2 linked regions of the Arabidopsis thaliana genome follow. The protein of the gene in region 1 interacts with the protein of each later gene in a pairwise test. Each region holds a gene or a part of one and is shown on either strand. Other genes may lie near its edges.

Evidence for each region.
Region 2: the proteins of BLH5 (region 1) and OFP1 interact in a two-hybrid assay, tested with the Arabidopsis thaliana proteins (one large-scale study listed by BioGRID).

What each region holds. Positions count from the first base shown.
Region 1 is NC_003071.7:11,636,280-11,641,294, reverse strand, and holds BLH5 (BEL1-like homeodomain 5), read left to right. Parts: upstream 1-1,757; coding exon 1,758-2,192; intron 2,193-2,378; coding exon 2,379-2,758; intron 2,759-2,934; coding exon 2,935-2,995; intron 2,996-3,515; coding exon 3,516-3,989; 3' UTR 3,990-4,189; downstream 4,190-5,015.
Region 2 is NC_003076.8:322,495-326,465, reverse strand, and holds OFP1 (ovate family protein 1), read right to left. Parts: upstream 2,039-3,971; 5' UTR 1,915-2,038; coding exon 1,102-1,914; 3' UTR 788-1,101; downstream 1-787. Other genes in the region: SAUR21 (ARM repeat superfamily protein), read right to left, coding at 3,459-3,971.

The sequences.
Region 1 (5,015 bases):
TCTCGGGACGAATGGCGAATTGACACAAATCCACGAATGTAAATAAATAGCAATGTCGCATTATACTTAATTGATCTAAAAAGGAAAAATACTATTATCATAAAGTGAAAGATATAAATACAACTTGGATCTGACCGACACGATGAATTCTCATACACAGTCTCAATCCACCAAACTAAATAGTTATTATCACATTCAATAATAGAAAAAAAATTGATCTCAACACATATCGCGATATCAATTAAGATACGTCTAGCTTTATTTCGGTGTGTGATGGGAAGCTTTCCGAGGAATACAGGCAGATAATGGCATCACCAAAAAATAATGTCTAAATGTAATCTATTAATAAAATCCAAATTTTATATTAGTATTCGAAATTATTTTCTAGATACATTACTATGTCAAAATGTGTTTTAACTATGGATGGATGCTTAATTCGAAGAGTAATGAATTTCCGGGAATTGTGGACCATGTGGTCTATTTTCCAATGTACCATTACTATCTTCAAACACAAGTACTGACAACACAAAGAAAACATAAGAGAAAATATGATTTAGAAAACTATATGAAAGGAATAGGGAAATTTTGAAGATAAAGGCGGAACCAGGCAAATAAACTTTATTTATTTTGGCTGATAAATTTTTAAACATAGATTTGCATTGCAATACAGTTAATTAGTTGTTTAGTTGTGGAAAAGAAGAAAAAGAGTGACTTGTCGCAAACTAATATGGTTATCTAAATACATAAAAGAAGACTTTTGATGTGTGGAGTGGAAGTAGACGTTTCCTCGTTCTTCAACTATCTCCATGGTTCTGCTGACCCACTTCTATTATCTTTTCACATACATTTAACTATACACATATACATAGATTCATTGTAGATTTTAATTTAGTAATAATAATACAATATACTAATAATAAATGTTGACCTACTAAGTTATTCATGTAGGGATCATATAGATGCGTTGCCAAATATTAAACGTGCGGACATCAAATGATAAGACAATACTACCATCTGTAATATATTTTTCTCGTCAACAACCATTAATTAAAATCTTATTTCACCTATAGTATACAAATGGTAAAACGAATGACAATGATAGAAGTGTGATCGTAAAAATATATATATGGTAGCTATACTTATTCTTAGATAGATTGTCTCGTAGATCTACATTTGCGACCACATTGAAATTTTTTAGCTAGGTTGGATATTGGGTGTGAATCGTGCCTAAGATGCAAGTGAGAAATATTGGATATGTAGCAGTAGCATGCCGTGCATATATCATGTATGCTAGAATTGGTGATTGGTCAAAATCCATTGAACTTCGAAACATCACAAGAAAAATATTAATCGTGAGTGTCACTGTTTAGTTGTCCAATGAGATATAAAAGAAAAAAGTACATATTTTTCCCATTTATGAAAAGTCCAATCACATTTTATTTATAAAGGCGACTTATTGGACTTTCTAGTTGACAGATCAATGAAGCAGAGGATATTTAGATGATCATCGCAAGCAGAGAGAAAGACACGTCGAAGAAGACAATGAGAAACTCACACCCATAATTTGCTGCTCATCATTTCTAATTATTAAATAAAAACGGTAATTTAATTTTCTTGATTTGTCACATCTTTATTTCATCATCTTTTGCTTACCTTTTCTTCCTAAGCTCTTGGATATTATTAATGTTTTAGATCGATTTATATTATAATTTGATATTTTCTTGAATTGCAAGTTTTGTTGCTTAATTGTCAGAATAATGGCTGCTTTCTTTCTTGGAGAATCTGAAATGAGAGAACACTCTTCTGATCTTTTTATGATGACTCTGAATCCGTTTCGCGAGCAGACAACGACCACTAATGCTCATGACGATCACTTCTACAACTTGTGCTTTGGTTCCCAACAATATAGACCTCGAGATGAAGTAGGTCATATAGAACAAGGAAATTCTTCCATCTCCACTTTTTCAAACGGAGGAGTCTTCAGGGCTTTGGCTCCGATCTACTTGAAAGCGGCTCAAGAATTACTCAATGAGATTGTCAATGTTGGAAACGGTAGCCACGGCGCAAAACAAGAGCGACCGGTGAGTAAAGAGTCCACGATTTATGGAGTTGAGGACATCAATGGTGGCTATAAGCCTGGCGTAGCTGCTTTGCAAATGAAGAAAGCAAAACTCATCTCCATGGGTGAAATGGTAACTTATTTATACCTACCTATATAATATGTGATACACAAATAATAATAATAAGATCTTTGTATATACAAACCAACCATGGTGATATATATAATGGCAATAAACTTTCTGTTACTTTGAGATCGGGACTCAAGTTCAGTCCATATATTTGGTTATTGCATGTTAAGTATTTGATACTTTATAAAGGTTTCAAAGATTGGTAAATTGATTTGGGAAATGAATTTGGTAAATTATACACAGGTGGAACAGAGATACAAGCAATACCATGACCAAATGCAGACTATAATCTCATCGTTTGAGCAAGCTGCGGGTTTAGGCTCAGCAAACTCATACACACATATGGCGTTACAAACAATATCAAAGCAGTTTCGTGCTGTAAAAGACATGATAAGTTTGCAAATCAAGCAAATAAACAAGCTCTTGGGACAAAAGGAATTTGACGAGCAGCTTAAGAAGTTGGGAAAGATGGCACATCACCATTCAAATGCTTGGAGACCGCAGAGAGGTTTGCCCGAAAAAGCTGTTTCCGTTCTACGCTCTTGGCTCTTTGAGCATTTTCTTCATCCGTAAGTAACGTTTTCTTCTATCTTTAATTCTTGTTACGATTATTGTCGATATATCAGAATGATGGGACCTTGAAGCAAAGGGAACTAACTAAGGATATGGAAGCTAGGATCATTACTTAGTTTTGTATAGACATGCATGCTAATGATTTAGTTGTGTCTTGTTTTGGTTTGTATAGATATCCGAGGGATTTGGATAAGGTAATGCTTGCCAAACAGACTGGCCTTACTAAGAGTCAGGTAATTGATTTCGATTATCAGAAGTTGGACATACTTAAGTTTCTTAATGTTAGATGTCTCATACATAGTACATATACAATTTCATGACATCATCTAACACCGACTATCAAGAATAAATAATCTACAGGTAAAACCGAATATATATATAGATTCAAACAAATTTTATTCCGATCAAAAAAATATTTTTAGAAAGATATCTCTTTATTTCTATTTTTTTTTCTTTTCGAGTCTGAAAACAAAAACGTACCCAAGAATTCTAAGAAAAGCAGGTAAACCAAATATATTTTGGTAAATTTATTTAGATAGATGATGTATATTTATTTTATTATAATTATTTTAATGAAAATAGCGATGATAGCATACGAGAAATATCATATATGTGATCCTTTGTAAAGTAAATCAAATTTATTTTGGTTAAATTAGTAATTATATATATTATGGAATACTTTCTTTTAGCACCCATGATTATATATAATCAAAATAAGTATTGTTAATAGTATCTTGTGTAAAATGGATGTAGGTGTCAAATTGGTTCATTAATGCTCGAGTTCGAATGTGGAAGCCACTGGTGGAGGAACTTTATTCGGAAGAAATGGATATTGAAGAAAGCAGAAAAGGAAGTGACCGGTATAGTACCAAAGGTTCATCTTCAAAGCAACCGTACAATAATACAACTTCAAATGAATCTTCGAACACGATCCTACCCGCCTTTCGTCAAGGATTCACTGAAACTGAAACCCCTAGGCAAAATTCATCCTCAAGTTGCAGCGTAGTCATGAGGTTCACGAAGCAACACATGAATCAAGCGAACTTCATCAATTTCAACGGAGGGTTCGAAAACTATCACACAATGGATGGAAACAGCGTCTCCCTTTCCCTCGGCCTGCCTCATTCTTGTGACCAAACCTTTAATAACATTCATTTTGAGTCAACAAGTCATGGAACTGAGAACTCGGCCATATATTCATCTTCAACTTATCAAATCATGGATTAGAAATAATTAGTGGGGATGATATATTTTCTGCTTGTTGCTTACGTATATTCTGTGTATAGTTTTGGCCCTTGGATGGTTTCGTATGGGTTGATGTGTGTAGATTGATAGAGAGGAGATGATTAAGTAAAGGTTATGATAAAAATGTAGATAACAATACTAAGCTAAAGAAATATATATGGTTTTCGATAGTCAGGTTTTAGTTAGTATTGTTACGTATGAGTGTAAATGAAGATCAGATCAACCGTGAGATCCATATTAGCTAATAGTTGTGACTTTATGAACGTGTATGTGTGTGTGTGTGTGTGTATGTCCCCAAAAACCCTAACTTAATCTCCCACCTCTTCTGTCTTTTTTCTAAAATTTGTTCCACAAAACAATGAATATATATTAGCTATAATTATTATTTTGTTGTTTTACATGATCATCTTAGTGACCTAACCACAAGTTAATTGGCTACCAAGAAGTTATGGATTTATTTATTTGAGTTGATTTTTTGTTTGTCTTCCATATCCAATTTTTTATTTTTTATTTTACAAACTAACAAAATACAGAAATGTTTTAAAAATGATGGTAAAATAAGAATATGATAGAAAAAATGGGAGAGAATATTTTCTGTATCATTAAACACACAAACCGTTGCTACAAATTACATACTGAAAAATATGAATGAAGACATTATACAAACGACCAAACACACCTCTCTATGATACATAAATACCCCAAAACTAAAACAACCTCTAAAATCCTCCTCCTACTCACTCTCCTGTTTGTGTCCCTCACCAAAAGTCCAATACCACATATATAATCAATACTAAGAAAAAAAGCAAAGTGAAGAAAATCAAATATATGAATAAAAATGAGAAAACCCCTTTTACAAAACAAATACTCTTCCTCCTCACTACTACTACAAATTCTTTACCCTTTCATCATCTGACTTGAATGAACTTAACCTGTGAAATTCTTCGATAACTCAAAACCCTCATTGATCCATCTCGTTGGTAAATAGCAATCGATAATTGAATGGTT
Region 2 (3,971 bases), on another chromosome or scaffold:
TTTTTATATTTTAAGAATTCCACAATTTTCTTTTAAGATTGATGTTTAACTCTATTAAACCAAAATCTCATGGAAGATTTACATAAAACAAAATGACATCAATATCATGATAACGATACAACCATAAAACACAGAAGCAAAAGTTTGCCAGTAAGAACCATTCATCACTAATTTTATTTTATTTTACTATAATATCTACATATATTCATATAATTTTTTTTTTTCCGATATGTTACCTTTTCCTATATATTCTCGTCATTTGTCACCCATCACTGATATAAATAAATAAAAAACAGCCAATTGGATTTTTTGTTTTCTTTGGCACTTATATGCCTAAAAGTAAAAATGTTTTGTTTTCTTCTTGCTTGTCGCACTGTTTGTATGTGTTATGCACTGCATGCATATACATATAAATATTATACAAAACAATACGTCGTGGTCAATTTTTTTTTATTTTTTAAAAAGTTAACTACACATATAAATAAATAAATATAGATGTGTGTGAAATTGAGAAATGCACACGTACACACATATCCAAAGTTAGGTCTGAAAATAGGCGCAGATGCTGTTTTAATGAGTTGTCGGCATCGTAGGTCTAATATAATGGATACACTAAATATAAAACGTTCACTATTAGTCTTAGTCTATAACGTGATGCAGAGTAATTGTTGTCAACATGAACACTTGCTAACTCATGATCACAATGAATGAGTTTCCAATCATTTTTAAATCTCTTTTAAAAAATTTAGACTTGAAGAGTGAGCTGTATATATAGTATGATTGATGACGCAAAAGTAGGTTTATAGTCGTCCACATTCAAAATTTGATTTAAAGTAACACTTGCTTGTCCGTGCAAAGTAAGATTCGTAGAAGAGTACCAATCCGGATAGAAAATTCCTGTACTTGATATCATCAACGATGGCCGTTATGCAAGTACAAGACTGTAGGCTCTCTCTAGACCATTATTACATATAAATATAGTTAGTACAAGAATCATCATCATCAACATCATATATATTTACATTTTTATTCAGTAGAGCGATTAATTATTAAGGAGTAATTAATACTATATAAGAAGATGTTTTTTTCTTAATAATAAAATTATTTGGAATGGGGTGGTGGAAGATTAAGATCAAGCCAGATTTGCTTGAAGACATTGATGATAATAGCGTGATATTCGTCTGAATTGAGACAGAGATAGCAAGCCAAAAGCTCCTCTAGATCCTTTGTCGCTCTTATCTTGTTCTCAGCGATCATCTCCTCCATCGACTCCTTAAAGTCTCTCTTCGGATCCACCGACGCCTTCACCACCGCCCTGCTCCGCCGAGCCGACGACCCGCTTCTTCTTGCGCTGCTGCTCACCGAGATCCGCGGCGACCGCATTCTAAGTCTCACCCCCGCCGGAGAATTCACCGCCGTTTTCCGTGCGGTGGCGGCCGTTTTGGTAATGATGGGCCGGAGTTCGAGTTCCGGCGGCGGCGTAAAGGTTGCGGTTTTGGATAACTTGGAGCTGCAAGGGCTGTGCCAGGAGCCCGTTAATGACTCGTCGGGGAGGAGAACTTGATCCGAGCGAAAGTCCGGTGAGAAAGAACCTGTTTCTGTGGTAGTGCTGTCGCCGGAAGTCGTGGAAGACTTAGAGTCGACGGTGGCTCGGTGACGAAGACGGTTCCCGGAGGACTTCCTGGGAGGATGGGAGGGTGGCGCTTTGGAAGAGTGAGAAGGGCGCCTAGGAGGCCTAGGACTGAGTGGCGTTGTGGACGTAGGAGTAGGGACTGCGTGGTGTTTCTTCTTGGAGGTGGTGCTATTTGGTTGGCTCTGAAGATTCTTCTTCTTGGATTTGGACATGTCTCTAAGTTTGTAAAACCAAGCGTTAGGGATTAACTCCGATAGCTTAAACCGATAGTTATTACCCATTATCTCTCTGACTCTCTCTGTTGATTATTTTGTGTTTGTTGGGGACTTCTTTGGTACATGAACAAAAGTGAGAGTGTGAAGAGTGGAGAATTTATAAAGGAAAGAGAGGTTTATGTGAGGGGGCCCACATACGTGGAAAATATAAAGGTTATTATAAGGTGAGTGAGATGCTCTCTCCATTTTCATTGATTTTGTGTTAGATTATGTTGGCCATTTCATTTTCCCCTAAATTAAATTACATTGACATTTGACACTGACACTTTTATTATATGTTTTAGTAATAGTAATACACAAGTAGTGTTCGTACCAAAGAAATAAATAATAGAGTAATTACTAGTTTGTATATGTACTAATTACTAGTTTAATCGTGGTCATTGTAATCCTTTTAAAATGTGCACCACGATGATATTAAAAAGTTGTATCATCGATAGTGTAAAAAAAGAAAGTGGTCACTCACTTTATTGTGTTACAGTTTCCGTAAGTAGGTGTTTGGGTTTGACAACAAATAAAGAAGAGAGAAACCTGCTTTTTTCAAACATTATCGCACGCTTCGAGATCTGGGATCTCTTGCAAAACAAACCAAAATTTTAAAATGGGCCTATATGTTTTCGGCCCAATAGTTTCACTTAACGATAGCACCTCTTATATTTTCCTCTTCATCAATTTTAAACTCCAACTAAAGAATCTGTCAAATTGAAACCAAAAATAATAATATTACAGAGACACAAATTTGCCAACTTATTCATGGTCATTTTATACACGTTTAAACAAACAAACAAAAAATAACACGTTACATCTCTATGTATTTGTTCTCTGCCATGGTTAACTGATGGTTGTAAAAAGTTACAGAACAGCTTTTCCTTAAACATCAACTACTCTGCTTCGATGAAAAACTCCAACCTCACTCTTTGGTTTGAACATATTTCTTGTCTCTCACTCCGCTTCATAAATTCTCAACACCGTCACTCTTTTCCTCAAATGTGTTTTCTGGTTTTGTAATAGTTCTGTAATAAAATTAACCGTTTAAAAAAGAGGGAAAGGAAGAAGAAGATATTTTATTTAATGCTTCGAAAGATCCAAAACGTAAAAAAACAACAAACAAAAAGGTTTGCTTCTCTAGGAAGAAAGATTGTTGCTATTTGCAATCAGTTCCATTTCCAATCATCATCACTCCTTTAGGAACATGCTTGTGTGTATATCTCTTGTGGATTTGCTCTGTCTTTTGTGTTGAAATTTTGTGCCAATTCTTTTGTCTCTTTATTCACACACATATGATAACTCTAATATGCTTTCAAGATTTTTATTAGTTCCTGTCAAAACACTAGTTATGAGTTATGAGAGATTAGTAAACAACATCATAACACTGTGTAAAGTTCATCCAGTAAAAGGGAAAAAATCTCTCGTTCTTTTCTCGAATTTACATTTACAATTGCAGCTTTTAATACTTTGTAAAAGAATCAATTTCTTTTCAAATCATCAGGAAAGAAAAAAAAAACATTTAAACTTTACACAAGAAGAAGAGGGGAAAACAAAAAAATGAAAAATCATAAAACTGGACTAAAAATCCTACTTGGCGTTGGCACTACAATGCTCTGCGTTTCCGCCGCCGTGTTATGGGTATCTCCGGCGGCCCACCGTCTTAGATATCTCATCAATGACGCCGCTTTCCTCCCTCCCCTGGCCGTTCCAGCTCCTATCATCTCCCATATAACCCTCTCTATCCCTGGAATAGCCGCCATCTCCGCCACTAGCTCCGACCCTCCTTTCCGACACATCGTGACCAGCGTTGCCGCCGCACTCTCCCTTGTGGTATCCGCTCCTTCTCTCATCACCTCCCCCAAAAGTCGAATCAAACTGAAAGCGGCAGAAACCGCCATGAGTCCTCCCCTCCTGACCACCGCCTCCACGACAGCCACCGCTTCCTCCGGTAGCTCCTGGAATGCATCTCCTGCGGCTCCCATTACCCCAGCCTCAACGAACCTCCCCACGTTCTCTCTCTCAGCCACCAGGTTTAGGATCGCCACGAGCGCGTCTCTCTTAGAGCTGGTGGGGCCCTG